Linked DNA regions of Diceros bicornis minor. The protein of the gene in region 1 binds, or shares a complex with, the protein of each later gene. Links are inferred from orthologs where the notes say so. Each region holds a gene or a part of one and is shown in the gene's direction. Other genes may lie near its edges. The genes, in order: TBL1XR1, GPS2, HDAC3 and CORO2A.

Region 1 (7,628 bases):
ATTTACCTCGCCTGCTAGCAGCTAGGTATGGTCATGTGCCCAAGTTCTGGCCAATAGAGTATGAGTGGAAGTGATAAGTTCAACTGCCCCAAGTCCTGAAAGAGAAGGCAAAGCTCTCTATTCTCCTTCTTTCTGGCCCAATGGCTGGAATTTGCATGTGATGGCAGGAGCTAGAAAAGCCATCTTAAATGAAAGATATGTGTTGAGATCATAAAGCAGTCTGCACCCTTGATACCTTATCCACTCTAGAATGCTTACATTTGAATGGCCACGTAAGAGAATAAACTGTTATCTTGTTTAAGCCATTTTTATATCACCTTTGTTATAGAAATCAAACTACAGCCTAATACAGACGTATATTTTCTGAAAGTCTGTCTGCCCTCCCAACCCCCACCTGACACAGGACCAGAATGTATATTCCAAGAGAGTAAGGGCTGTGTTTGGTTCACGGTAAACAGTTTCTTGAACAGTGCCTGGCACACTAAGCATTCAATAAACGTTTGTTGAATGAATGAATAGCAAAACTATCAACATAATGCGAGGCCTTGAGTGCTGCCCTGAGGAAGCACACGGCTGGTCAATAGAAGTAAGTACTTGGTACAGCACTATGCTCTGTGTGTGGGTGGTTTTCTGTGCTGACTGAATCACAAAGGCAGAATCCAACCTGCTATTTCCATTATCTGAAAGGCATAAATACTTGTAAGATGGTTGTGTGTTGCTTTTGTAATTTAAATGAAAACTCCCAAGTAAAGTTCATTGTGGTAATGAAATCGGGTCACAGAGTCATGGAAAACTGTGACAAGGTTCACACTGATGAGGAAAGGTCAGAAGTCACACACTAAGCACAGAGGGAGAAAAGGAGATCTCAATGTGCTGAGATCTTAAGATGTGTGGCCGAGATCTGCATCAGTCCGGATGGCAAAAGCTGATAGCTGGAAGAACCACAGACAAAGAATTGCACAAGTTGAGTCAAAACGAAACAGAAACGTATCACATGGTATCAGCAAGACGCTTGGGGGCACACACTGCAGACGTAAAGCCACTGAGTTCCTGGGTGAGTAAAGAATATACAAAGAGTTATAGTGTCGGGATAATATTTTTGGTATCAAATATCTTTTTCATGCTTTTAAGTTGGTTTTGAACATTTTAATTACATAGATCAGCTAATGCAAACAACATAAAACATCATGGTGGCTTTAAAAATATATATAGTAATGAGATCCTATAACCTGGGATTAAGCCACCTTAACTTTAAAATGTTCTATTTCCCGAGTGATGAAAGTTGCAAAAGTATAGGCTATCTTGCCATACCACACCCCCTGGGTGTAATATTACTGAAATAAAACAAGTCAAGATTTGTTTAGTCATTTTATAATATATATATAAAGTCTGGTAACAGTTACTGGTATGAGGTTTCTCTTTGTTGAGTAATTAGCTAGAAAGTTCAAGAGAACTTTCTTAATGTGCCTCTGCTTTAAAATTTCTTAGTAACAGAGTAATTTCTCCTTTCTAGAAACATATTAACATTTATATTCAAAGCATAAGGACAGCTTTTAGATTAGGACAAAGCACTGAAAACTGGTAACAATAATTAACTTTGTCCTTACATTACTCCTGTGTCTAATTATTGCTTGAATTGTATAAAGTGAGGCCTCTGATCTTGTATACTAGATAAGTTGGAATGGCTAGAGGGTGGGGTAGCAATACATGTGAACTTTGTATGGTGGCTCATCTATCTGAGGATTTCATGTTGCAGCCACGCTGTCATTTCAGAGTTTCCAGAATATAGAAATTGAAGTGATCAAAATATGATCTCACTTAATACCCCTTGGTTGGGAGAATCAAGGCTTTTCCACATTTAGTGCTTTTTTTGTCCAAAGGTACTTCAAGTCTATCTTTAGCGAGCATGGCGGATGAGGTGCATTTTACTGGAACTAGTTTACGGCAAAGCTCCCCACCTTTGGTGATTTTTATCATGGTATTTAAATGAAGTAATTTATGCACAGAAACATCTTATAACTACAAGGATGTAAACAAACGCATGGATTATGATTATCATTACGATAACAAGAACTCCTGCTAGGACGGGAGGCAGCTTGGTGTAGGGTATAAGAACTTCAGGGTGGAAGCCCTGGACCCTATGAACCTGAAGGAGGATGGGCTCTCCCTTGGAGATGGAGTGATAGAGATCATTTTGAGGGATGATAAGTTGGGGGCCCCAAGTTTGGAGATGACCCTATTAACTAGGGTCGGTGTAGTTTGGAAATCCTCATTCACTGGAAAAGTGGTTTGATTTTACAGCAGCCGGTGCTGAGAAGACCCATGTGTGGTGGCCAAAAACAAGCTAGGCCAATCGATTTGTCTCACTGGGTGGCTCAGATAATGAAGCCTAATTGTACTGAGATAGTTTGCTTATTGAAGAGAAGATTATGTTTAGTAACATACATATGTCATTAATCAATACTTAAAAACATTTAAAAAAAATAGGAAGGTACTATACCCTCATCACTTCGGAAATGGTCTTTGCAAAGGTGCGAGCTCTGCAGTAAGCCTTAGCTTAGAACGTCACTGAAATGCAAAACTTGCTCTCTTTGTGCTGTTTGCCCGAACACTCAACACAGTGTTTTGGAAACCGGCAGTTATCTAAATTCCCATTGGGTGACATTGTTTAATCTAACATTCCCTCTTTCATATATTAAAATAGCTCTGAGGACGAACTACTGAGATGCTGTGAACTCTCTTCTGGTGGTTGTGAGGGAGTTTCCAATCCCACTCCCTTTCCTCTGATGGTTTTCCTGCTCCCTCTCAGGAAAGGCTTCTGGCTGCTCCCCCTCCCCGCCAAGTAAGGGCTCATCAGGGGAAATAGCCTTTGACCTTGGCCAAAAAAGCACCTGTCTAGTCACTGAGCTTATTAGGCCACCCGGAGTCCAGATGTGTGAAAGATACTTCGAATGAACTTTTTTTTGGTGTGAAAATTTAGGTCTCTGATATTGAGAGGAAAAGACTATTGCTTTAAAATAGTGACTACGTCTATTTCCAAATATTGTGATGAAAGCATGAAAACAGAACCCCTCATCTAAAAAGGCTGCAAAAAATATTATTGTACTTTGAATTCACCAATAACTGAAAATAACAACAAAAAAGTTCTCTTTTAGGTCAAATCTTTAAAAGGACAGCTGCTTTTTATGTTCTAGGCTTATACAAAGATCTAAGACTCCCAACCCCTGCTTTCTGAGGGCCTCGGAAAGATAAACACATTCGTTTTAAGAACTGTGAGGTGCATCCCTTTTTTAAAACACCCCTCTGCCCTCCCTTCCTTCATTATATTGACACATTATCACTCATCTAAGTTATACTTTACAAACTGCCTTGATGTGCTACACACATGCAAAAAGTACACAAAGTGGATAAACTTCTACTGTCGATGCTGCCGTAGAGGTATATATTTAGTAAACATTTAGTTACATTATTTTATTTTTGTGAAATGAGAACTGATCGACCAAACCTTTCAAGCAGACCCACCAGACGATAAATACCACCATATGTTTGATTCACAGTACATTTGGGCATAAACACTTCAATTACAGCTTTGTGTTTAGCATCAAAACCCTTTTCTTGCGTGTGTGTGTTTTCTCTCCAGATCCCGTGCTCCGGATTACATTGTGAAAATCGCTGCTTACAGATAAAGCACCTCTCCAGGTACGCTTCCGAGAAACATATGTATTTATGCACACAAAGGTGTGTGCAGAGCTTTGTACAAACACAGGTCCATATGATGCCTGCGCCGCGCTTCCACACATGCCCACCGCGGGGGTGTGCCCAGCCGGCCCCGCCGCGCCGCCGGGGTGCCCGCGGGGACTGGCGGCCCCCGGACCCGCAGGAGCCCCGCCGACCGCCCCGCCCCCAGCGGGCCGCGCGGCCCACACCCAAACGACTCCGCACCCGGCCGCGCGGCGGTGGGGGCGGGGCGGCCAGTGCCCCGGCGGCGCCGCGAAGCGCCTGCGGGTCTTTCTTTATTTTTAAAAGCCTGCGCCGCACCCGCCCAGCCCCCCGCGCCGCCGCGGCGGGCGCAGGGAGAGGAGCGAGGCCGGCGGAGCCCCCCCCGCCGCGCCGCCGCCTCCCCGCGGCCGCGCGCCCCTCCCCCGCCGGCCCCTCCCCCGCGCGCCCGCCCGGCGCAGGCCGCTCGGGTTTGTTTTGCTGCGCGGCCGTCGCCGCCGCGGGCCTCGCGAGCTCATTTGTGCCTGGCTGGTCCCCATTCCTCTCTCCCCAGTGTTGAGTGTCTGAGCCGTTGGCTGCTCCGAACCGTTTGGCTCTTTCCCTTAGTAACAGCTTTTACCTTCTGCCTCAATTCCTCTCCCCGCTCGCGCCCTTCCCCCGCGCGCCGCCTCCCCCCGCCGCCGGCCGCGTGCGCCCCCGCCCCTCCCCCCGCGGCGGGAGCACCTCCGCTCGCCACCTGGGGACCCGCGCCGCGCTCCCCGCCCCCGCCCGCCCGGCGCCCATCCCCCGCGCCCTCCGCTCGCCGGGGTTATAATTGCCTCTCACCCCCCGGAGGGGTTATTTTGGGGGTGGTTGGAGGAGGCGGCGGCGGCGGCGAGGAGGGGAATTTCCTTGTGCCTCCATTCCCGGGAGGGGGGAGCGGCGTCGGAGGCCACCGTTTCCAGGTAAGCGCTGGGGGCCGGACCCCGGGGTGGGGGCTGCCGCGGGCCGGGGCGGGGGGCGCAGGCTGCGGCGGCAGCCGGGGGGCGCCGGGCCGCGGGGGGATGGGCGCCAGTGGAACCTGCATTTTTCGACTTGGCCCTTTGGAGAGCTGGGGCTGGGGTGGGGGAGGGGAAGGAAGGGAAGGCGTTTGGGGTACTCCACCCCCCCTTTTCCTCTCTCGGGCTTCTTTGAAATGCTCACGTGCCTGCCCACCCCCTACCCTTTTTTGGTCTCGGGGGATCCTCACCCTTAGGATGTTGTGGTCCCCGAAAATGTGCACCTCGGCCTTCTTCCCTTCTTCCACCCTTCGTGCATTTACACCCCCTTTTTCCGTGTGTGTATATGTGGGGGGAGGCTTTCAGGGAAGAATTTGCAGCAAATTGAATCAAGGAGCCATCATGAGGCCGACTCCTTTATAGCCTATTTTTAGCGGAGGAGAGGGCTCTTTTCGGTGCATGTTATTCTGTGAAACCTCAGGCAGCAATGGAAACAGGCTCCCCTCCGCGGGCGCGTCCCCGGCCCGGGCGCGGCGACCCCGGCCGGCGTGCAGGGGGCTGCGGGCGGCTGTTGGGGCCGCGCGGGCCGGGCGGGGGCGCCGGCGGGGGAGGGGCGCGCGGCCGCGGGGCCGCACTCCCGGGCGTGTTTATTTCCAACTTAGTGCTTTTTACCGTCTTAAGGAGGCATTTGATAGAACCTCTTTGAAGTTGGGTTCAGAAGTGTAGAATTGGTAAAGTTATTGCCAGCTTCCTGGTAAGTTTTGGGTCGCACAGTCACATTATTTTCTGACAGTGTAAAGGCCACGTTGTGAAGGGTGGTTTCTCGGTAACTTCCTCTTTGCAACCGATGTCAGTTTTTGAACAGAAGCAGACTTTTATTCCAGTGAAATTATTAATCTTAAATGGCAGCTCGAGGGAAGCCATGCATGTGTTAACATGTTCAGTATTTTTGGAAGTTCCTAATTTGCTGAAACAGGCTTCACTTTGCAGTGGCAACCGAGATTAAATTCAGGTTGTGAAAATGGTGTGTTTCATGTAAAATTTGGGTTGTGATGGCTCTTGAAAAATGCTCCTCTTGCTAGGTTTTCTAATAATAGTCTCTAAAGTAATTTGGTGATTACAAATGACAAGTGTTGGAACCTAGTTAAAAACTAGATTTTCTCAGTCTCTGGAGTTTACATAAAACCTTGGACTGTGCAGACACCAAGGTGAACAGTTTTAGTACCTATGTGATTTACAGTTGACTTAGGGGAAGTTTACTCTTGGTTTTCTTGTTTTCCAAACAAGAACCTTATGCTAATATAAACAAGCTTGTTAATTAAATATGGTGGGTGAAATGATGGGTTATTTTTAGTCTAAATGGTTTATTTTCCCTTCCTCCGGGCCACCCATGTAAGCAATCATCTTCCTCCCCCTTTTTTCCTAAAGGCTCCTTTATCAGATTGGGTAACATAATGCCCTCGTGGTGTTTTTATCGACTTCCCTAAAACAAATTGTAATTAATAGCCTGATTGCCTATTGAAGAGACAGTGAGTGACTTTTTTGGCTTTCCCAGTGTGGTTCATTTTCGTTTTTGTTAAATGAGACCTGTGCTACATTGGTGTGTTTTAGTAATCCTGACTTCCTGGGACTGTATGTTCTCACCATTTTAATAAGTTTATAGTTTGGGGAAATAGGGCAGCGTTGTCTCCATGAAAACGTCTTCATGAAACGTATGTCACGTTGTATCATGGGAGTTCATGCAAGCTTTGGAAATTATCATTGAGGGTTCTAGAAATAGTTAGCATTTATGGGTGGAGGAGGGGCAGCAGAAAGAAAATATGCCTGAGAGTGGTCAGGCATGTGATGCATGTTTATACTTTTTGCTCTTAAATTGAGGTTTTCCTGCTTGTTTGGAATATGATTTTTTTTCCAGTTCTGCTGTCATGCACTGTGTGATGTATGTAATCACAACCATTAAATCCTTGAATAACTACTATTTTTTTTTTTTTGCTATTTGAATAGTTAGAATCACACCTCTAGGGCAAAATACTAAACTGTGTGGGGGATGAAGACAGTGTGTCCATGGAAAAAGTTTTTCTTACTGTTAAGAAACTTGTCAATGGCTTAAAAATTGTTGCAAAGCTCAGCGTCAGTTGCTGCCAATACACACCAGCTTTCGTTATTAATGTGGGAGACACCGTGGTCAATGAAGAGGCCCCTTGTGGAGGTTGTATTTTTTGCATTGGTTGCTTCCAGGAAGTGTTAAACATTGTGATAACTTTTTACATGTGTCCAGGAATCTTTTTGTTACTTGTGTTCTCAGCATCTAATTGAGGTTTATTGTGATACATGCCTACTAAGAGAACAAAAAGTAACTGCTTCCTGTGTGCTGGGAGCCTTTGTAGCTAATACGTAGAAAGGGCAGGAGCTTAATATAAACATTGGGGTTACTGATCAAGAAATCTGACTAATAGACCTTTTGAATGACAACCTGTTGAATAAATACATCTGTTCATATGTAGCAATGAAATGTAACTACAGCCTTGTCAAATGAGTAGCTGACAAAGGAATCCTTCTGCAATTTACTACAGCGGTATTACTACAAAGGATTTGTGACTTGACACATTTTAATAAAGTTAGGAGAAATAGTTTGTTGGGTTTCTTCAGTTTCTGTTTGTTTATATAAAAAGAATTGAGAGGAATGTGGATGGTAGTCAGTGGAGATGGCAGAAGTATTGGCACTGCCTAGGACTTTGTATTTTTCTAGTACATGTGAATTTGACTCACTTCACAAATAACATTTACAGTATAAGTCACTGAAATGCGAAAAAAGAAAGCAGCTAACATCAAGACATTTATACATCCCCGTAGTCCAGAAGGACTAGGACCCCGGGGCTGTGTAGTAAAGAATTGATGAGTGTGGTCCAGTTTGGAGACCACTCTGGTAGTATC
Region 2 (6,961 bases), on another chromosome or scaffold:
GGCTTCTGTTCATACGCTTTGGTGGGGGTTGTAGGTCAGTTAGCAGGAAGCGCTCACATGGTGACTCGTGAAGGAAGCAGTAGGGAGTGGCTGGGGGAATCCAGGGGAGATGCCTGATCCTATATGTGGGAACAGGGAGGGCTTTCCAGAGGAGGGGGCCTTTCTGCTGTAAACTAAAAGATGTCAGCCAGCTGAAGGAAGCCCTTAGGGACAAGAATTCTTACAGAGGCCACAGCAAGACCAAGGCTGAAAGAGGGAAGAAAACAACTGAGTTTGCAGTTTCAGGTCCCTCCAAGCATCAGGAGGGGCAGCACCCCAGGCTACACTCTGGCAGGTGCTATCTTCCCTCCCTGGCTGGGGTGAGGAGCCTGGTTCTGCTGGGCATCTTTCCAGGAGGCCATGATTGGGGAATAGTTGCCTTCTCCCCCAGGTGCGGATCGACTTCCTGAACCGGCAGTGGACATCTTCCCTTGTCCTGGGAGTCATCACCTGCCCACCAGAGAGGCTCAACTTCCCTGCTTCTGCCTGTGCCCTCAAACGGGCAGCCTGGCTGCTGCGGGGCCATGGGGTCTTCCACAATGGTCTCAAGGTGGGTAGGGAGCAGAGAAAAGGGAGAGGGCCAGGTCTCTGAGTAGGGAGGGGCTGGCCAAAAGAGAGAAGTGGGGCCCCTGGCCTGGAGGTAGGACCACAGGTAGAAAGGGGCACTGTAGTGGGGGGACCCTGTGGTGGGTGGGCAAAGGCATGTGTCATTACCTGGACAGTCTTGGGCTTGCCGCTGCCTCCTGTGTCTCTGCCATGGAGAAGGTGGGGGAAGGGGAGGTGGACTCTGGGTAATTGTCGGAGGGCGAGGGGGCAGGTAGAGCCCAGACAGTGGGCAGGCCTGGAGGCAAAGCCCAGGGACTGGCGATCTGAAGTTTAGTGAAGGGCCACTTTAGTGGCCCCTGCCAGTGGGAGTCTGATCTCTGGCAAGACAGTAGGTCTCTCCTCCCAGATCTATGAGAAGTTTGGGCCAAATCTGGACACGTGTCCTGAAGGCACCATCCTGGGACTGCGGCTAGACAGCTCCGGGGGGCTGCATCTCCACGTCAATGGGATGGACCAGGGGGTAGCTGTGCCAGATGTCTCCCAGCCCTGCCACGCGCTCGTGGACCTCTACGGGCAATGTGAGCAGGTGAGTGGCAAGGGAGGCAGGGAGAAAGGAGTGCCTGGGAGACTGGGCTGTCTGAGGAAAGGAGAAGTCTGGTCCAAGGAGGGGGTCAGCAGGCCCTGGGGGCTGGTCACGCTCTGGCTGACCACCCCTCTCCCCTGCAGGTGACAATCGTGAGCCCTGAACCAGGAACTGCTAGTGGGAAGAGTGCTGGAACCCAAGGGGACATGGAGAAAGCTGACATGGTAGATGGTGAGCCAGCCTGAAGGGACCAGGATCCTACCCCCCCACCCCATACTTCTAGCCACAGCTCCTGTGACCTTTGCCCCCTCTGCTCCCTCAGGTATCAAGGAGAGTGTGTGCTGGGGTCCACCGCCTGCTGCTAGCCCTCTCAAGAGCTGCGAGTACCATGCCCTTTGCTCCCGTTTCCAAGAACTGCTGCTGCTTCCTGGTGAGCCCCCAGTCCCCCAGAACCTGCCTCATTCCCTGGAGATCAGTCGGAAGGAGGCCATGTGGTTGAGACCCAGGGTGGGAGCCACAGCACCAAGTCTGCCACTCACTCTCCTGCAGAGGATTATTTCATGCCTCCGCCGAAGCGTAGCCTGTGCTACTGTGAGTCTTGCCGGAAGCTGCGAGGGGACGAGGCCCACAGGCGCCGTGGGGAGCCTCCCCGGGAATACGCCCTGCCTTTTGGCTGGTGCAGGTTCAACCTCAGGTACATATGGGGCAGGATCATGAGTCTCCCTTACTGTTTTTAGCCCCCTTGAGAAAGGAGGGTCCCAAGAGGCTGTATGGGAAGAAGTGACAAACTTCATGTTTAGGGGATAATCTTGGGGAGCCAGTGACCTTTGTCCAATCTGCCCTATCTGTCCACCTCCTAGGGTGAATCCCCGCCTGGAGGCTGGGACGCTAACCAAGAAGTGGCACATGGCGTATCATGGGAGCAATGTGGCAGCTGTCCGGAGGGTGCTGGACCGAGGGGAGCTGGGAGCAGGTACCGTGGCACCGGCAGAAGCAGGGCAGGTATGGCAGGCCGGGCCTGTGGGCCACGGGAGGGCTGCCCTGACCCACCTCTCTTCACAGGCACTGCCTCCATTCTAAGCTGCCGGCCCTTGAAGGGAGAGCCTGGGGTAGGGTTCGAGGAGCCTGGCGAGAACTGCGCACCTCCTCGGGAGGAGCAGCCCCCTCCAGTGCTGCTTTCCCCCTCTCTCCAATATGCTGGGGCCGAGACCCTGGCATCCAAAGTGCAGTGAGTACACGGGGGTGGGGGCAGGTGGGTGCCAGGGACACTTGGGTCTCCATGATTTGCTTTCTTGTTCCCACCTTGTCTTGCTAGTTCCTCAGTCTCCACCCTAGCCCTTTCTTCACACATTCATTGAACAAATACCACTTATTTTGTTCATTTCACTGAACATTTTAATGTTTTGTTCATTTCATTTCGATGAACAAAATGGGAATCTTGCTCTTGTGGAACTTATGTCCTCTCTTGCTCTAGAATGTTTATGCATAATAAGTATTTAGTATTTTTAAAAGTGACCAGTAAGTACTATGGAAACAAAAAGTAGAGTGGGGTAAAGTGGATCAGAAGTGTGGTTGGAGTGGGCATATTAAATAGGGTAGTCAGGGTAGACATCCTTAAGAAGGTGAGATTTGAGCAAAGGCTTGGAGAAGGAAGTGAGGGAGTTAGCTAAGTAGGCATTGGGAGGAAGACCAGTTCAAGTAGAGAGAATGGCTAGACCCAGGTCTTAAAAGGTGGGAGTGATTCCTAGGACCAGCAAGGCCAGTGTGGTGGTTGCCTTTAGCAAGGGGGAGAGGTGATGGGGGCCAGAGGCCTCACTGCCCTATTTCTGCTTCTTGCCTGACAGATTCCGGGACCCCAAATCCCAGCGGACCCACCAGGCCCAGGTGGCGTTCCAGGTGTGTGTGCGCCCTGGCTCCTACACCCCTGGTCCCCCTTCCACTGCCCTCAGAGAATCTCCTGACCCTCACTTTACCCCAGCCGAACTTGAGTGGGTAACCAAGGAGAAGGGGGCCACACTCCTCTATGCCTTGCTGGTACGGGTGGAATGAGGGGTGAGACCTCACTACTACAAGCACAGTTGGGCCTTGGGCCTGTGGACTCTGAGTGACGACTGCCTCCAACTCATTCCAGTGACCCATGGCATGCACAGGTGCTCAGTCTGGCAAATGCACAGGAGCGTGTAGGCAGGCTCTCAGATTTAGATGGGAAGTGGAGCACATCTCCATGTCCAGGGCGCGAAACACTCCCTCTGAGGTGAGGGAGCTTGTGGGGAGCCCAGCTCCAGGCCCTGGGTAACTCCTCTTCATGCACTGATTTGGGGAACACGACTCCCTATGATTCCCTCCCCCATATCACTTAATTTATTTCCGTTTTTGTTCTTGGTTACTGTGAATCCCAGAGGAGTCTCCCTGTGCCCCACATGAAGCTGCTTTTTCCGGGGGCCACCGGGCGGGAGTGGGGAAGGGCGGGTGCAAGGCAAGATGGGGGCCCTCTGTACAGTTGTTACTGACTCTGATTTCTAAGGAGCCAATAAACACCGTCTCAAAGCACCCGCCTCCGCCTCTCTCTCGCGTGCCCCTCGGAGGATCCCCTGCCCGCTGGGGCTGTCCCCGCTGTGCCCGGCCCCGCCAAATTAGAGGCCCCGCCCGCAAGTCCAGAGCCCGCTTGGGGCGCCCCGCGGCTGGCGCGCGGCCAGGAGCAGCGCCGGCTGAGGCGCAGCGACGGGGTTTGGACGCGACGGGCACCCGTCGCAGGCGCTTCCGCTTTTCCCTCTCCGCCCCACCCGCGAGGCCGGCTGCTGCCCTGACTCCGGAAGGACTCGGGCCAGTTGCCGGATGTGACGCAGCGGCCAAGGCGCGCAGGAGGCCGCGGAGAAAGCAAAGAGAAGGCGGGTAGGGAGGGGCCGGCGCCCGGGGCTGGCGGGGCAGTGGGCGGGGAGCGCCGCGGCCGGAGACTCGGGCCCCGCCCGCGCACGCGGTGGAGCCGCGGCTGTCTTCCGGGCCGGGCTGGGCGGCGGGCGCCGGACACGTGACCGGGGCGGCGGGCGGGCTTCCGCCTGGGCCGGGTGCGGTCCCTTCTGAGCGCCCGTCTGCCCTCAGGCCCGGTCCGAGGTCTGGCAGTCAGTGACAGAGTCGGGCACCCACAGCCCGAGCGCCCCCGGCGGCACCATGCCTGCGCTCTTGGAGCGCCCCAAGCTTTCCAACGCCATGGCCAGGGCGTTGCACCGGCACATCATGATGGAGCGGGAGCGCAAGCGCCAGGGTGAGCCGGGGCAAAAGCGGGTAGACACACGGCCCAGGGCGGTACCGCTACCCCAGGGCTGACTCCGACCCACGGGCCGACCAATGCGCTGGCCGTCGAAGTTAGAGGAGGGAAGGAACAGCCCCGTTGTGGTGGGAGTTGGAGACCAGGTCTAAACTCCAGAACCCTTGAGCTGGGAAGGACCTTGGAGAGCACCTAGAAAAACCTCCCTCTCTCTGTCCCCTGTTGCGTTGATGGGGAAGCCTGTCCCCTCAAGAGGGAAAGAGCCCTTACTAAGAGCATAAAGAAGTATTGGGATAACCAGTTTTTGCTGTTCTTCAATCTCTAACGTTATATTTTAACCACACTGCAACTTGCTCATTCTGCCTGACTCTTTCTCCAGAGGAAGAAGAAGTGGACAAGATGATGGAACAGAAAATGAAGGAAGAGCAGGAGAGAAGGAAGAAAAAGGAGATGGAAGAGAGAATGTCACTAGAGGAGACAAAGGAACAAGTAAGCAGTCCCTTGCTCTCTCCCAGTTCTTCCTTCCCTTAGCTCTCCTGCCTTCATCTTCTCTCCCCTCCCTTCCCAGATCCTGAAGTTGCAGGAGAAGCTTTTGGCCCTACAGGAAGAGAAGCACCAGCTTTTTCTGCAGCTCAAGAAAGTTTTACATGAGGAAGAAAAACGAAGGCGCAAGGAGCAGAGGTGGGATTGGAGAGCTAAAAATAAATAAATAAAATTGGGGGCAAAGTGTAACTGGGATCAGGTAACAAAAGGTCCCTGTTTAATAATGAAAGAGGGAGGACTTGTCTTTGATTTTGACCAGCCTTCCTTTCACTCCAGTGACCTGACCACTCTGACATCAGCTGCGTACCAGCAGGGCCTGACTGTCCACACAGGAACTCACCTCCTCAGCATGCAGGGTGAGGAGTACAGAAACCACTTGTCAGAATGGGCCCTCCTGGGGGTTGCAGCCCCCCATTTCAGCATCATGAAGCCCCTCTCCCTCTCTAGGGAGCCCTGGAGGACACAATCGCCCAGGCACCCTCATGGCAGCTGACAGAGCCAAACAGATGTTTGGACCCCAAGTGCTTACGGTAAGAGGAGGATTGGGTGTCTAGCCTGTTGTTTTTCCCTACTTCCACCCAGACCCAGGCATCCTCCCTGGACCAGTACAGTCATGCGTTGCTTAACGACAGGGATATGTTCTGAGAAACATAATGGAGTGTACTAACACAAACCTAGATAGTATAGCCTACTACACACCTAGGCTGTATGGTGGTGATCTTATGGGACCATCGTCGTATATGTGGTCCATTGTTGACCGAAACGTCGTTATGCAGTACATGAATGTATCAAACACTTAACTGTATAGGGAAAAACGGGGCATACACAAGTCCCTGGAGTTTCTGCTTTCAAGGAGTTTACAGGTAGTGAGTTCTCATCCTCTCTCCTTAGACCCGGCACTATGTGGGCTCAGCAGCTGCTTTCGCAGGGACCCCAGAGCACGGGCAATTCCAAGGTAGCCCAGGCGGCGCCTATGGGACTGCTCAGCCCCCACCTCACTATGGACCCACACAGCCTGCCTATAGTCCTAGTCAGCAGCTCAGAGGTGAGTGGTGGGAAAGAGGGAGGGGGGCTTTTCTCAAGGCCCAGAGGGAGGAGTGTCAGAATCAGGCTAAAGAAGGTTCTAATGGCTGTGCCTCTTGCCTTTCTCAGCACCTTCAGCATTTCCTGCAGTGCAGTACCTGTCTCAGCCACAGCCACAGCCCTATGCCGTGCACAGCCACTTCCAGCCCACCCAGACAGGTGATAACACCCCACGCAGGGACCCCAGTTCTGAGTCCTCCCTTTTTCTTTCCCGTTGTCTACTCATTTCACACACTGCTTTTCCCCACCTAGGGTTCCTCCAGCCTGGCAGTGCCTTGTCCTTGCAAAAGCAGATGGAACACGCTAACCAGCAGACTGGCTTCTCTGATTCAGTGAGTATGGAGCCTTGGGAGGTCAGGGTAAAGGGTTACAGTAAGGGGACCCCCAGGCTGCCTCTGATTCTAACTCTCTTCTCTGCAGTCCTCCCTGCGTCCCATGCACCCCCAAGCTCTACATCCAGCCCCTGGACTCCTTGCCTCCCCCCAGCTCCCTGTGCAGATGCAACCAGCAGGAAAGGTAAGGATTGGTAACCAAACCTGTCAGAACCCCTACACTACCAGGGAAAATAGAATTGGGTAGGACAGGTAGCCCACACCCCTGCTTTTTCCTTCCTCCTTGGGGGTGGTTGTCAGTAAGGGTATGAAGAAAGGAGAATATGCATACTGACAAAGCCCTCCTTTCATCGCCACCACCAGTCGGGCTTTGCAGCAACCAGCCAACCTGGCCCTCGGCTCCCCTTCATCCAGCACAGCCAGAACCCACGATTCTACCACAAGTGACCATCGGATTTTATCTTCAGCCTCACCCCCACCCCCTGCGATGGGTGAGGGTCCCTGGTGTGTCCCAGTCCTAGGCCAATAAAATCTATCTGCCACTGCCCCTGGCTACTACTGTTTGTGTTG
Region 3 (7,743 bases), on another chromosome or scaffold:
CCCAGTGATGCTGCTGCCCCTATCTCCACACTGTCAGAGAACACCCCCTCAATGATCCAGAGTGATACAGCCAAAGGCGGGAATCTCCCCCATTTCTACTCTCACCTCCAGGAGTAGAAACTTCCCCTCTTCCCATTTCTGGGGCTGGAACCCACTCTCTTTTCCCCATCGTGCTGCTGCCTCTAAGGCTGGAACTACTCCTTTCTCTTCTGCCCCCATCCATCTCTAAGGTGGTGAAATATCCTGAAATCTCTGGGGCTGGAACCCATCCCTCAAAGTCTTGAGTGGCTCTGGCCCATCTGTGTGTCCACCCTGGCTCTGTGACCCACCCCACTCCAGATGCCAGGGCCACTGGTTTGGGGGCTGGGACAGGGGCAGGCCTGTCAGAAGGAGCTGGAGCCAGTATGCGAAGCAGCTGTAATGGTCTGAGCGGATTTATTGACAGTGAATAAAGGGCACGAAGCCCAAGCCAGAGCCTGGGCCTCTTGTGCCAAGAGAGCAGGGGACTGAGGTGCTATTGCTTTAGGGGCCTACCAAGGGCAGGGGCCTGCTCTCAGCTGCCACGCTGTAGCATATGGAGCGAGGTGATGGGGAAGGCGGGTCAGGCGGCCTGTTGGCAGGCGGGGGAAGGAAACAGACTGAGGGCCGGGGGTTGGGGGAACTTCTCCCAAGGTCCCCCAGCCTGAGACTGTGCAACTCCAGGTGGAAGTAGGGCTGTTCCCTCAGCTGGGGGGCAGTGCTGTCCAGTGGAGAGGAGGGGCTTCGTGCCCACCCATCCCCGGCCCTGCCAGCTGGTAGTCCATCAGCGCAATGAAGGAGGAGGCTTGGAGAAGAGCAAGGGTAACAGAGTTGCCTCCTATTCAAGCTGTGTCCCAGCTTTTCCCCGGGGCTGCAGGACCTTCCCTATCCCCTGGAGCACATGTCCACTCCCCACCACCAAACCAAGGAATTTATAGCAAAGGCTAAGCCTGCAGTTTACCCTGGGTATACAGGGAGCCAATGGACTTAGGTAGTTTAAGTAGGGGGTGGGAGGATGACATTTTCTGATTTGGGCCAGGCAGACTCACCTCACACAGCCCCTGCTCCCCGTGGTGGGGACACCTGAGAGAGAGGAGGGGTCAACAATGGGAGAACAGGACATGGGTCATATTAGTGTCCCCCAGCATAGGGGGCAATAAGAGCTGAGCCCACCACAGGCCACCATAGCCCTGGCCATGTCTTCATACCTGGTGATCTGAGGTGTCCAGTTTGCTTGGCTGTCCATTTGCCTCTTGACTGGCCAGCCCTGGGCTTGGGCCCCTCCCTCCAGCCCCCAGCATTGGCTCTACAGAGGCTCCAGGGTTTCTCTCAAGTGCACAAGGGACTAGGCTGCTGTCCCTGAGTCCTCCATTCTGCACTGGGGGGCTGGTGATGGCTGGGGGCTGTGGCCTCTCAGGGGGCAGGCTCTCAGTGGCAGGCATCCCTGCCCTGGGATGCCCTCCCCCAGACCCCTGACCGCCCCCTGGGTCCTGCCCCCCACCAGACCCCCAGCTCCTGTCTGTGGGGGAGCCATCACGATGCTCATGCAGCCCGTAGCGCTTCTCAATGTGTGTCACCCGGAACCTGGGAGGGGAGGGAACACTGGGGCTTAGGACCACAACTCAGAGGCTGCTTGGCCCCTTCCTCCAGCCAGGGATATTCTGGGTTTGATGGCCACTTCCTTCTGGCCTAGGGCAGGGGAGACCTCTTCAGATTCAGGGGCACATTGTGCAGCCTGACTCCTGCTGTAGCTCGTAGCTCACAGTCCAGGAAGAAAGCCGGAGTCAACCTTTGGAGTCAGGTGCCTGATCATTGGGGCCCCCACCTCAACCTCTCTTTCCCTGGGGTACTCTATCCCCACCTGCCCACAGAGAACACGGTGGTCTCCCCAGGCCGGGGGCGGCTCTTTCCTTCCTTGGAGCGTCCCTGACGGACAAGTGGAGGCCTCTTGTTGCGGCTGCAGTGGATGCAAGGGGCTGCAGAGCCCAGGTGCACTGTGTGATGATGGGAGGGGGCTCCGTCCTGCAGGCTGGAGGTAGCATCCATGCTGGACAGTAGGGAGGAAGGGAGAAGGAGTGACATTCCCATTTCCCTTCCTGATCCATTTTCTTCTATTCTTTCAGCGTGCTCCTTAAACCCCCAGATGCCCCACTTTCCCCAGGCCCCAACATTCTTTTCTTGTCTTTATCTAATAAACTCAATATTAAGATGTTAGTGACCATGCGTTCTCCTTCCCACGGCTGTTTTGCTAAAAAGAGAGCAGTACTTAACCCAAAGGAGTGGCACAGGGGGTGAATGTTAGGCTTGATGACATCCAGATGGGACATAGGGTTTTAAGAACTCAGGACTTCTACACAACTTCTTTCTTCCTATAGCTTAGCCAGCCTTGCTCTCGCCCCTGACCCCAGACATGCGAGGAGACTTGGTGAGGAGTGTGCTGGAGGAGAGGGTACTCTCCAAGGTAAGCTAAGTCATGCTGGCACTTGTTTCCAGCTCACCTGGACAGCTGCACTGTCCCTTCTCCTTCACTGTCCCCCAGCATCTCCTTCAAGGCCTCAGCATTGGCTGAAGGGAGAAGGAAAAGAGGGAGTCAGTGGAGGTGGAGGTCAGGGCAAGAGAAAGTCGAGGAGGGGGGAGCAAGGGGCCAGTCTACACCCACCTTCATTTTGGATGATGCAACGAACAATCCTCTCTACTGTGTCCTCATTCATGTCATCGTCCTCAGCTGAAGGATGAAAGAGGTTGGCAAGGAAGCAGGAAATGAGTCAGCTTTGAGGGGACATTACCTGGTGGCTTCTGTGGCTTATTGCTCAAGACATACCCCTTTACCTATTTGCCATCATGCTGGATGTTAGCATTTCAGTGGCCAGGGCAGAAAAGATACGGAAATCAATGGGAGCCCAAGAATACCATCAGTGGGCCCTTCCCACTAATGCTGCCTTCTCTAGCCTTGCTTTCAGGGTGGTGTCACCCCCACTTGCTGACTCAAGAAAGCATCACTAGGTCTCCTGAAGGCTTGGTCGGTTTGGCCTGGGTCTGTTGGCCAGGAAGGCAGAAAGAGGTGTGGGGAGAGGGGTAAGGGAGAAAGGTGACTGAGCCAGGTTCTAGGCTCCTCACTCACGGGGCTGGAGCTGGGCGTCGTCAGGCTCCGAACCCCTCGAGGTGCGGCAGCGGTACCCCTTCTTCTTGAGCACGTGGCAGATCATGAAGCCTACAAGGCCCATGAGGAAGAAGACCAGCACAAGCAGGAAGAGCATGTACAGCCCATGTTGGGGCGGCTCCAGATCAGGCTGTGGTTCCGACATGAAGCCCTGGGGGGCGAGCGCGGGCCAGGGCGCCTCCTGGGGTTAGGGGGCTGCAGCTAGGGATGGGGGGAGGGATAGGAATGCCGTCCTCAAGATCCGAAACAGGCGAGCCTCCCAGGTCCGGCCCCACCCCCTACCCAACCAAGGAGCTGTCCGTGTCAGGGGTGCTGGTCCGGGCCAGGGGTGCCAGACGGCGGCTGCGCAAGCCCTCTTCCACGACCCTGGTCCCGCTTCCCCGACGCCCAGAGGGTTTCCCTTTCCAGCTTGTCCTGCGCTTCCGTCCCTCCCAAGGACACTGCAGAGTGAGATGGGACGGAATTCTCAGGCGGCCGGCGCAAGAATCCCACCTGAGTCAGCGTTCGCACCTCCTCCGCGCCGGCCTGAGCCAGGCCTCTGCAGCCCACTCCCCTGCCTGTACTCCCGCACACCCCTCCCTTTCGATTCCTCCCATCCTGACCGCCTGGCCCACCCGGTACCGGTGGTTTGGTTCTGGCTCCGGCTCCGGCTCGGGTTCCGGTTCCAGGGGCGTCCTAGTCCGGCTCAGGGCCCCCGACGCCCTCTCGGGGCTCATCCCTTGCTTCCTCCCCCTCCCCCCTTCGCCGCCTCACTGGCTCCGGGCTGCGGCTGCAGATACCGGTGCCGCGGCAGGCGGGGGGAGGGAAGGATGGAGAAGGATGCGGGCTGGTTGGGAGCGGCGGCAGGCTCTGGACAACTCCGGCCCTGGGAAGGGGAGGAGATGGGGGGCGCCGCAGCCGCCCTGCTTCCCAAATGCCCTCGCCCGTCGCCGGCCCAGGACCAGGGGGCGGAGCGCAGGTGTGCAGGGCGGAGAGCTAGAGCCTTGCGCGCTTGTGAGCGCAAGTGTGGTGCGCGCGTGACTGCGCCGGGCCCCCCTCCCGGGGGAGTGTGCGGCGCCAAGTCTGGGTCCTGGTCCTGGTAGGGACGACAGGCAGTCAGGCGAGAGTGCTCTCCACTGGTCTATCCGGCACGCCTGGCGCGGATCCCGCCCTCAGATGCCCAGGCCGGGTGGATAGCCGGGAACCTTCCCAGCGGGCCGGGGAAGTCGGCTTTCTGCACCCGAGAGGGACAGCGTGGCCGGTTCTCCGGAGCCTCCTAGAGAGGTGACCACGGCCTGCGCCCCGTTTGGGGCAAGTGGCTGGATGGGATGGCTCAACTTCCCGAGCATATGACCCCCGCCTGGAAGGAAATGGCCCTCGCATCCTAGGACCAATGCTCTCCGTCCTCCGCCCAAGCCCAGACGCTCACGCCCCAGAACCTAGAAGGGCGAAGCAGGGCAACTGCTAGAACTGCGCAGGGGGCGTGGTCTGGGCGTGGGCGTGGTCTAGGGAGGCGGGGCCTGGACCTCCCGGTTCCGCAGAGGCCGGCTGCGTGCCTACGCAGCACGTACGACGGGGGGTGGGGCAGGCGGCCCGGCGGGTGGCGGAGGCGCGGGGCCTGATCCCGCCGGAACCATGGCCAAGACCGTGGCCTATTTCTACGACCCCGACGTGGGCAACTTCCACTACGGTGAGGGAAGAAGGTTATGCGCGAGGGGTTTCGGGACGCGGAGGTCTACAACTCTAGGGATGGGAGCTGACGAACTCTCTTCTCCCACCCCCAGGGGCAGGGCACCCTATGAAGCCCCATCGCTTGGCATTGACCCATAGTCTGGTCCTGCACTACGGTCTCTATAAGAAGATGATCGTGAGTCCCGTCGTCTCTGCTGGGATTTGAGGGTGGGGGCGAGCTGTGGCCCTAGGGGTAGGTAGGCTGCACTGAATGCACCAAGTACGACCCACCCCTGAAGTGGGGGGAGGCTGGATAGAAGGAACCAGGAGCATCCCCCATATGCGAAGTGTTGGTGGGTGCATCCCCTGACTTAATAGGAGTTACTTTTTCACCTTAGGTTAGCCACCCTTTGACCTCAGGTGGACCAACCTTTGACCTAGGTTAGGGTGGAGTGGGGCTGGTTTGAAGACAGAAGGTGTTTTCCTCCCTCGCATTTCAGGATGTGGGCAGTGCTGTGGCCTCAGGAAAGGGAGAGGGGCTGGATCACCGAATCTGGGTGTGAGGTTACTCTCAGTTCCCACCCCTTCTTTGCCACCTCTCTCCGCCTCCAAGGAGCTAGAGCTCCAGGGAGGACTCTGCTGCCCTGTGTGTGAGTGTGTATGTGTGTGTGGAGGAGAGCAGGAGATGTCCTGAGTATTCCCTTTCCAACCTAGAATACCCCTACATGGGTAATCACTACCCAACCCTCACATGCTGTCTGTCCCCACCTTAGAATTTATTGCTGTGATATGCAATTATAACAGTTAAGCTCAGCCCTTATGCATTACAAGGGGAATTAGTCAACAGTATGAGTGTCCACTGCTTGTGCCGAGGCACAGAGAAGTGAACTGGTCGTAGAAAAGACTGAGGTGATGTTAGTGCATGAATCTATGAATCCCTTGAAATTTAGTCTGCCGCTGTATGTACCTGTGTGCATTTTTTGGGGAGAGAAAAGCTTTTTGTTCTGTCCAATTTCTAAAGAAGTGTGTAAACGCCTCAAAAGATGATAAATCTCTGGCTAAGCACCTTGGCACTTTGGGTTTTAGTTAGAAGGTTGTCATATATCCCATATTATTTGACTCTGAAATTAAGAACTCAGAGGAGAGAGAGGACAGAATCAGAGTCCAGGGGTGGAGAGGACTATGGAAAGAAGCAGGAATAGGAGATCCGGGGAACAGGGCAGGTGGATCAGGGCTCAAGGTTGAGAAAGTAGGAAAGGCTGGACTGGAGGTGAGAAGGAGAAGCCAACCCCCATGGTCTTTAGGGGGCTTGACCATAATAACCCACCTGGCTAATTGGAGCTTCTCTTCTTCACTGACCTTTGCCTCCTAGAATAACACGGCTTGAGGGGTCAAGGGATTGCTGTATGTAGTTTTGGACAGTCCCCAGGGCTGGGTTCAGTGTGGGTGGTCTCAGTCCCATTAGTGGGACTGACCCTGCCTGGGTTCATCTTGTGTTTCCATCCTGAGGTCTTCAAGCCATACCAGGCGTCCCAGCATGACATGTGCCGCTTCCACTCTGAGGACTACATCGACTTCCTGCAGAGAGTCAGCCCCACCAATATGCAAGGCTTCACCAAGAGCCTTAATGCCTTCAACGTGGGCGATGACTGGTGAGGGGAGGACTGGGACTTTTGATGCCAGGCACTTTGATGCCAGGCATTTCAAGGAGAATACTTGAGTGAGGTCTTGTGGTAGCAGTGGGAAGACATGAAGAGGCCTACTTGTCAGTGAATCATCATTTACCCATTTGTTTATTCAACAAATATTTACTGGTCATTTGCTGTAGGCCAGGTCCTGTGTTAAGTGCTGGGGATGCAGTGATAAACAACAACAGCAATATTTTAATATTATAGTTGTGGTAAGTCCTATGAAGAAGAGGCACATGACAGACCATGGGAGTGTATATGTGGAAGAATTATCCAGCTTGGGAGTGGGCTAGTCAGTGGAGGCTTCCTAGAGGAAATAATGAAGATTGAGCTGAGATCTGAAGAAAGAGTAGGAGGAGGTAATTAGGTGAAAGGTGGTTGGGAGGATAGAGAGTAGGGACAGGAATGTTGTGGGCAGTAGGGAGAACATGTGCTAAGGATCTGTGCTAGGATAACGTGTAACTCATTTGAGGAACAGAAAAAAGGCAGACCACAGAATCTGAAGAGAAGAGTGATCTGAATTGAGGTTAGAGGTAGGCAGGGCCTTTAAAAAGTAAACAGCCCTATTATGAATTGGGGTTTTTACCCCTAGAATAGAGGGAAGTCATCGAAGTATTTTAAAAAGCAAGAGGGTGATCTGACATGATCAGGTTTACATTGAGCTTGTATCATAGCAAGAAGACTCAGAGTTAGGCCCTGTGGAGAAGGGAGTGGACAGTGACGATAAGCCATGATCCTTGCTTACATTCTAGTATACATCCATGAAAATACAGTGACCATAACAGCTACCTTTACTCAGTTTGTTTTTAAACTTTTTATTAGGGAAAATTTCAAACATTTCTGAGAGTAGACTAGTACAGTGAACCCCCACATATCCATCACCCAGCTGCTACACTTATGAGCAAATGGGCAATCTTACTTCATCTGTATCCTCTTATGTTAGTTAGATTATTTTAAAGCAAATCCCAGATGTCATATCCTTTTATCTGTAAATCCTTTGTTGTGTATCTCCAAATGATACTCTTTAAAAAAAAACCACACAATATCATTATGACATCTCAGAAATTACCAGTAATTCCTTAATATCATTGAATTTGCAATCAATATTCAGATTTCTTCAATTGTCTTATAATTTTTCTTTTTTGCAGTGGAATTATTTAAATTAGGATCTAAACAAGGTCCACACATTGCATTTGGTTGTATGTATTCCGTCTCTTAAGACTTTTA
Region 4 (7,008 bases), on another chromosome or scaffold:
CTGGGGCTTGACGGTCTTTCTTGTTTCTGCTAAATTTGTGTCATCTGCTGAGGTGCTTCCACCACCAGACAGTATCTGTGAAGTGTGATGTGGTCTGGGGGGGGGTCCTGGCGGCACCCCAGCAGGCTGGGTGCTGGAGCCCTAAGGGCCATCAGCGAGGAGACAAGGGGTCCAGCCTCCTGCAGCTCCCAGGAGGTTAAAGGAGACCACACCCGTGCTGAGCCTGGGACTGGCACAGAGGAAGTGCAGCCAAGGGCAGCGAGCGGCCTTTCTATGAAGAAAACGTCACCAGGGGCCCTGAGGCCTAGAAAGGCCCAAGGCTCCAGGCCAGACTGGCCCAGTTGGTGCCTCAGACTCCAGCCTTGAAATTCAGATTTTCTCCTCAGCCAAAAAGAAAACAACCCCAGATCAGACGGAGGCTGCCAGGTAAATGGCACCCTCCTCCGTCTTCCCTCCCTACTCCTCCCACCTCTTCCTTCTGCTTCCTCCTTCCCTCATCTTCCCTCCCGGCTTTTCTTCTCCTCTCCTCCACCGTCCCCCCATCCCCCACCCCGCAGAGGAGAAGCTCTGCCCAGAGCTGGGAGCCTGCACCCTCCCCCTGCCCACTGGGGGGCGGTGCTCTGCAGGTCATCCAGCGCTGTGTAACCTGGTTCCCACCTGGCTGCACCATAGGAGCACCTGAGGAGCTTTTTAAAAATATTCCCGCTGGGGGGCCGGCCCAGTGGCGTAGCGGTTGAGTTCGGGTGCTCTGCTCTGGTGGCCCGGGGTTTGCAGGTTTGGATCCCAGGCATGGACCTACTCACTGCTTATCAAGCCATGCTGTGGCGGCGTCCCATATAAAGTAGAGGAAGATGGGCACAGATGCTAGCCCAGGGCCACAATTCCTCAGCAAAAAGAGGAGGATTGGCATCGGATGTTAGCTCAGGGCTGATGTTCCTCAAAAAAATATATGTATATACTCGTGCTGGGCCCGCTCAGAGCCTGAAACCGGGTGCTGGAGCCGGAGCCAGGATTGAGAGCTGCCTGTCCTCGGCACCTCTCACCCGGGCCGAGCTCAGCTGACAGGTGAGGAGCAGGCCTAGGGAGGTTAGCAAGGTTGCCCAGTTACACAATCGCTGTGAGGTGAAGCCACGCTCAAGCCCAGAGGCCCTGACTGCAAAACCAGGGCGGGCCCCTCCCAGCTCACCTTGTCTTCAACACCTCCCCCAGGGACCCAGGGCAAAGGGCGGGCCTGGCCCGTGGCCTCCTGAGTGGCGCAGGGCCTGTGGGGAGAGCTCCAGGCAGAGGGAGATGGGAGGAAGAACCACCCGCCTGAGCGCGAGGCTGGGGCAGGGACAGGGGGTGGGGGTGGGGTCAACCACGGGGAGGCGGGTGGCTGCTGCTGCTCCCACGGAGCCTGCCCAGCCTTCCCCTCTTCCTGAGGGGCATTGGGGCCCACCCCTGGTGTCAGGTTCCTGGCCCTGCACCACAGCTGTCGCCCCATCCCCCGGGAGGATCTGATCCCTCACAGCCCCACCCTCCTACCCCAGGGGATGGGACCTCTAGCTCAAAGCATCCCTCTCCCAGACACGCGCCCCCGCAAGCTGAGGTCCACACTCGGTTCTCTGGGGGAGGGGAAAGGAGTCACCCAGGGAAGCTCCCGGGGCAGGCTCCCCAAGAATGGAGGGACTCCTCAGAGGAGGAGGACGGGCCTGGAGGGCACTTTGGAAGGCCCTCCCCCACCCCAGCGTGGGAGTGCACACTTCTACAGAATGCCCGTGTTCAGGGCCACGCTCCCCCACGCTCAGCCTCACTCCCAGGCGCTGCTGTCCCCTCATTCTCTCTAAGCTCAGGCCCCACTGGGCACAGGGCCGTGTTGTACAGAAAGCTCCATGTTGGGCAGGTGGAGAATCTGCCACACACACACACACACACACACACACACACACACGTTCTGCTCCCGTACCAGGCATTTACCCACACACGGCAGGTTAAACAAAGCTGCCATGTTGACACACCGGGAAGGAAGCTGCTGGTTTCCTGGCCCATCCCAGTCAGCAATAAGACCCAACAATAGGTGCTGGCAGGTGGGCCCAACTTTGGGGCCATGCCTCTTGTGTGGTTTTCTTGCTTGGACCTCTGGGCGGGTCATCCCTACTCTGGCCTCAGTTTCCTTATGTGTGCAATGCGGAAGATGGTTGGGGGTAGCCTTCCTCAAAGGGACCAGGGTTGGGGAAGGGGAGAGGCAGGAGAATGAGGACCCCCTCCCCCACACACACACACAGCATCTCCAGAAAGGCCCCAGGTTGTGTCTATTGTAGAGGCCTCCAGTGTCCTCTCCTCTGGCCCCTCGGTCCTTATGCCTACAGCCCCCAGAGAGGTCCCTGTCAAACCAGCCCTTCCCTAAACTGTCCCAGCCACCTACCATCATGGCAGAGGGGAAAGATGCAGAGACAAGGCTAGGAGGGTGCATCCACAGGGCATCTGGGAAGGCTTCCTGGGAAGGGTGTGGGTGCTGGGCCTGGAAGGAAGGATGAGTTGGTTATAGACAGGCGAAAACGATGATGTGGAAGAGAACTCCAGGTGGAGGGGACAGTGTGAGCAAAGGCACTGAGGTGTGAGTGCGCAAGGGGCTGGCGGGATGCATCGGAGATGTTCGCTCAAGCCCCAGGTGAATGAAGACATTCAGATGCCCTAGCCTTGGAAAGGTTATAAAGCCCACCCCCCAGGTGTAATGAAAAATAAAGGCAATATTGAACCATAAGGAGAAGGAACTCCCACCACGTTCTGATTTTGCCACGTGCTTTCCTGAAACATCAAATATCCAGCTCTTTTATGCCGATGCCCGGAGCCACACTCAGTTGGCCTGCTGAGCAGTCCAGCTCCAAGAAGCCTGGGTCGGCCGCAGGGCAGAGGTTTTGAGGGCCATACCGAGGGGCTGGGCTTTGGACGGTGGGCGGGGAGTCCATCCAGCTCCAGGCAGGGGAGGGGCCCAGTGAACAGTGAACACTGAGTCGCAGCCTTTGGCCCCCGCTGTTCTTTCTAAGGAGATAATCAAGAGCTCCCAAGTTCAAAGCCACTCTAAGTCTCAATTTTCTTATGTGTAAAATGGGCTAATACTAGTGGCTAAGTGAAATACACTTCTCAAGAGAGAGAGTGCGGTGGAGTGGCTATGAGCTCAGGCTTCAGAGCCACACTGCCTAGGGTTGAATTACTGGCTGTGTGATCTTAAGTGAAGTCCTTAACCTCTCTGTGCCTTAGCTTCCTTATGTGTAAAACAGATAAGTATTAGTGTAACCTCATAGGCTTGTGTGACGGTGAAGTGAGGTAATGCATTTAAGGTGCCTGAAACTGCCTGGCTCAGGAGGTGTTGGCCAGTGGTACGTGAAAACGCTGGGCCTCCCCATCTCCTCCGCATTGCCTAGGATGCTCAGGACCTCACAGCCAAGAGTGGGCAGCAGCGCCCCCTCCTGGCTGCCGAGAGAAGGAAGGGAGTCCTCCGCACACTGCGGCGGCCAGCCCCGCCCCGTTCCTCGGGGCCGACTGGGCGGCCTCCGGAATCCCTCTGCCCTCCGGGTTTCCGAGCGCTCCTCCTGTGGCGGGCTCTGCGTGCCCGCTCACACGGGCCGGTAAACGACACCTTCCCATCTAATTCTCGAACAGCCCTCGGAGGCAGACACGGTTACTGTTTCCATTTCACCCAGGGGGAAACTGAGGCTCCGGGAGGTCGAGTCCCCCGCCCCACGCCACGCAGCGAGGGAGCGGCGGACGTGCGGGCGGGCGGCTCTGGCCGTCCCCAGCCTCCGCTCGGTCGCCGCGCAGCCGGCCCCGGTCACTGCGGCGTGTGCGCGCCGGCGCTGTGCGCGTGTGCGCGCCCCGAGACCAGCTCCGGGGCCAGCGGCGCGGTCGGGGGGGGCGGGTAGGGAAGGAGGGGTGGCCCCGCGGACTCGCGGGGCGCGCGGGCGGGGCTTGTGCCGGGCCCCTGGCCCGCCCCCCGGCCCCGCCCGCCGGGCTGCCGCGGAGGCGGCGGCGCTGGGCGCGGGGACTCGGCGGGCGGCGAGGAGCGCGGAGCCGGAGCCGGACGCCGCCGCCGCCACCGCCACCTGCGCGGCCGTCGTCAAGGTAGGGCGGCCCCGCGCCGCCGGCCGCGCCTTCCCGGCCTGCGCGAGGTGGGCGCGCCGCGCGGCGGGCTGCAGCGCCCGGGGAGGGATGCTGGGGCTCGGCGCGCCGCGGAGACCCGGCGGGGCGCGGGGCACCTGGCTTCCAGCCCCTCCGCGTGACCTTGCACAAAGCACTGCTCCTCTCCAGGCCTCAGTTTCCCCGTCGGGATAGCGGGCGCAGTGATGGCCCCTTCCTCGCCGGGCTGTTGGGAGAGGCCGCCCCGAGCTCCAGGCTCCCGACGTCTCGGAGCCCGGATAGGCACTGTCTGCACAGCCCACCCGCAGTGAGGGCCGCTCACCCTGGGTGTGGCGAGCCGGTCCCGACAGGCCTCCTGTGGGGGATGCCCCGCGGGACCCGTGCTGGGACTCTCCCCGTCTTAGCTGGGTGACTTGCTGGGCGAGTAGGGGAAACGGGAAGCGGGGGACACCCCAGGTCCCTGGCGAGCCGGCCTGGGCATGCAGGGCGGGGCGGTCCGAGTCTGCGCGCCAAGTCTGCCTCGCGGTCTGGGGCTGGGGGAACCTTGGTTTGGAGGCGGTGGGCCTCTCAGCCGCAGACTTGCCTGGACCGGACCCATGCAGGCAACCTGGATTTAGGGAATGGTATGGGATGTCCCCTTCCTCTTCTCTGCCTGGTCAGGTGCTGGTGCCCAGCTCTGTGTCCCAGCCGGGTGTGATAGCGCTGGCTCACATCCGTGTGTGGACCCCAGAGGGGCCACAGTGCCAAGAAAGCTGTGTCTAGGTGCAGTTGGGTCTGAGACAGAGCACATGTCTGAGGGACTGTGGATCCAGGCTCTCTGGGTAAAGAAGACCTCTGGCATCTGGCCCAGCCCCTCAGTAAGATCCCCTCTGGAAGGTCTTGCATGTCCCTTGTGATGGGGATCTCACTAGCTATAAACAGAGCTGGAATCTGCTGGTCCTGCTCTGGGCACAGAGACAACATCTGACCCCTCCTCTCCTGGGCCATCATCTGGTCCCTTAAATCTGCTCACCTCCTCCAGCTAAACAGCCCCAGGCCTGGCACTGTTTCTCCTGCCAGAGCCAAAGGGAGCAAAGGCAAGACAGGGAGGTGGGTGTCTGCCCCAAGAGCGAGCAGTGGTCAGCGTGGGGCTTGTTCAGGAGCGGCCTTCATCAGGACTGGACTGTGTCCCCTGTGCTTCCTGCACTTCCTGCACACCTTTGGGTTAGCAGCTGCCTTCGGGGTCTGGAGGGAGGGGAGGAGCCAGAGGAGCCCTCTCCAGCCTCCCTGCCCCAGATCCTCTGCCTGTCTTCTCCTGCTGCCTGCCCTGACTGAGGGACTAGTTTCTGAGAATTGAGTCTGGGCCTTCTGGTCTCCCTTGTACCCCTCATGACCTATTCCTCACTCAGGAGCTTTCTTACAGTCAAAAGAAGGGAGAGACCTCCTGAGCAGTGGTGAGCTCTGTGTCCTTGGAGGTATGCAAGTAGAGGCTGGATGAGCACTTGCTGGGGATGAGCTGCCTTTGACTACAAGTCTGGGAGTCTAGGGTTGAAGCAGAGTGACCACGACCTTGCCTTCTGGCCATGGTGGAGCTGCGCAGAACTCGGAGTGGACCACAGATGAATGTTATCATCCCCTCGTAAAAGCAGACTAAGTATATGTGCTCTCACTCAAGCATAGAGACGACACACAGGCTTAAGTGCTACCTAAGTCTCCCATCCTATCTACGTGTGTATCATCAGGGCCCTGTTTTCTTGCTCGACTGGTCTAAGCCTTTTGGGCCTGATTTAGGGGCATGGCAGATTCTAGTTATTAAAAATTATCATGTGGGGCCAGCCTGGCCCGGTGGCGTAGTGGTTAAGTGCACATGCTCCGCTTTGGTGGCCCGGGGTTCACAGGTTCGGATCCGGAGCGTGGACCTACGCACCACTCGTCAAGCCATGCTGTGGTGGCGTCCCATATACAAAATAGAGGAAGATGGGCACAGATGTTAGCTCAGGGCCAATCTTCCTCATAAAAAAAAAAAATTATCATGCTATGCTAATAATTTGAAAATGCACCATGGAATTATGGAATGTCCAAGCTGAAAGGGATCTTAAGAAGTTATCTCATCCAACCCCCCTTTTACAGATAGGCCTCCCCTATCCCCAGAGGAGATGTGACTTGTCAAAGGTCACAGTAAACCAGCAGCCAAGCCTAAGGATCCTGATTCCACAACCAGAGTGTGTGTGTGTTTGAAAACACATACCACATAGTAAACAAAAGCAGTCTGTGTTTATTCCTATAAAATTAGCAAAAATAAATAGAAAAAGATAAACCTCTGTGCTGGCAAAGCTGTAGGGATTCTCTGGTGGCATGTAATTTTGCAGGGCAATCTGGTAGCTTGTTACAAAAGTCCGTGAAAATGACCCTAACTGCCCTTCGCCCCCAGCCTTCTCCTGTGAGGACTTTACCCTGAAGAAGTAGGTATATAGAGAGAGACGAGTATAATGCTGTTCTTTATAAGAACTTGTCTTGTAGGGAAGAAGCTCTTGGTGTTTTATCTGAGGTTTAATGAACATTTCATGTGAAAAGTACAGCTTAAAAACCAGTGGCACAAAAGTGTCCGTTGCCGGAGTCTGGCCAACATAAAAGCAGTGTGGTCCAGAGGAAGGAAGAGTCAGCAGACATAGGTTCCAGGGTGAACTCTTCCTCTACCCCACTGTGTGACCTTAGGTCAGTCCCCTACCTTCTCTGTACCTCACTTTCCCTCTCTGTGAAATGGGTAGAGTCAATGATTGCTGAATTTCTTCAGCTCTGACAGCCCACGTTCTAGACTTAGCAGAAAAAGATATAATTAAAGAGCAGTGTGCTCCCCGCCATAATTGAGAGATTGGCAGGGTGCGGTGGGGACCAGCAAAGTGTGATTATAAG

What was found.
Region 2: TBL1XR1 (region 1) and GPS2 share a complex: the UniProt entries of both Homo sapiens proteins name them as parts of the N-Cor repressor complex. The link is inferred for Diceros bicornis minor from reciprocal best matches to the Homo sapiens genes TBL1XR1 and GPS2.
Region 3: TBL1XR1 (region 1) and HDAC3 share a complex: the UniProt entries of both Homo sapiens proteins name them as parts of the N-Cor repressor complex. The link is inferred for Diceros bicornis minor from reciprocal best matches to the Homo sapiens genes TBL1XR1 and HDAC3.
Region 4: TBL1XR1 (region 1) and CORO2A share a complex: the UniProt entries of both Homo sapiens proteins name them as parts of the N-Cor repressor complex. The link is inferred for Diceros bicornis minor from reciprocal best matches to the Homo sapiens genes TBL1XR1 and CORO2A.

Annotation. Positions count from the first base shown.
Region 1 is NC_080754.1:45,360,861-45,368,488, forward strand, and holds the start of TBL1XR1 (F-box-like/WD repeat-containing protein TBL1XR1), read left to right. Parts: upstream 1-4,618; 5' UTR 4,619-4,661; intron 4,662-7,628. UniProt on the Homo sapiens protein: F-box-like protein involved in the recruitment of the ubiquitin/19S proteasome complex to nuclear receptor-regulated transcription units. Plays an essential role in transcription activation mediated by nuclear receptors.
Region 2 is NC_080757.1:10,975,606-10,982,566, forward strand, and holds GPS2 (G protein pathway suppressor 2), read left to right. Parts: upstream 1-3,943; 5' UTR 3,944-4,056; intron 4,057-4,201; exon of another isoform or gene 4,202-4,267; 5' UTR 4,268-4,336; coding exon 4,337-4,430; intron 4,431-4,812; coding exon 4,813-4,922; intron 4,923-5,001; coding exon 5,002-5,114; intron 5,115-5,252; coding exon 5,253-5,332; intron 5,333-5,423; coding exon 5,424-5,506; intron 5,507-5,867; coding exon 5,868-6,021; intron 6,022-6,128; coding exon 6,129-6,218; intron 6,219-6,311; coding exon 6,312-6,391; intron 6,392-6,479; coding exon 6,480-6,575; intron 6,576-6,754; coding exon 6,755-6,838; 3' UTR 6,839-6,936; downstream 6,937-6,961. Other genes in the region: NEURL4 (neuralized-like protein 4), read left to right, coding at 431-589, 992-1,171, 1,312-1,399, 1,491-1,598, 1,718-1,862, 2,029-2,141, 2,231-2,396, 3,013-3,217. UniProt on the Homo sapiens protein: Key regulator of inflammation, lipid metabolism and mitochondrion homeostasis that acts by inhibiting the activity of the ubiquitin-conjugating enzyme UBE2N/Ubc13, thereby inhibiting 'Lys-63'-linked ubiquitination.
Region 3 is NC_080740.1:59,790,400-59,798,142, reverse strand, and holds the start of HDAC3 (histone deacetylase 3), read left to right. Parts: upstream 1-4,740; 5' UTR 4,741-4,792; coding exon 4,793-4,847; intron 4,848-4,941; coding exon 4,942-5,024; intron 5,025-6,337; coding exon 6,338-6,480; intron 6,481-7,743. Other genes in the region: RELL2 (RELT-like protein 2), read right to left, coding at 1,069-1,101, 1,227-1,602, 1,880-2,065, 2,517-2,583, 2,678-2,743, 3,140-3,323. UniProt on the Homo sapiens protein: Histone deacetylase that catalyzes the deacetylation of lysine residues on the N-terminal part of the core histones (H2A, H2B, H3 and H4), and some other non-histone substrates.
Region 4 is NC_080767.1:8,385,580-8,392,587, reverse strand, and holds the start of CORO2A (coronin-2A), read left to right. Parts: upstream 1-3,991; 5' UTR 3,992-4,101; exon of another isoform or gene 4,102-4,148; intron 4,149-7,008.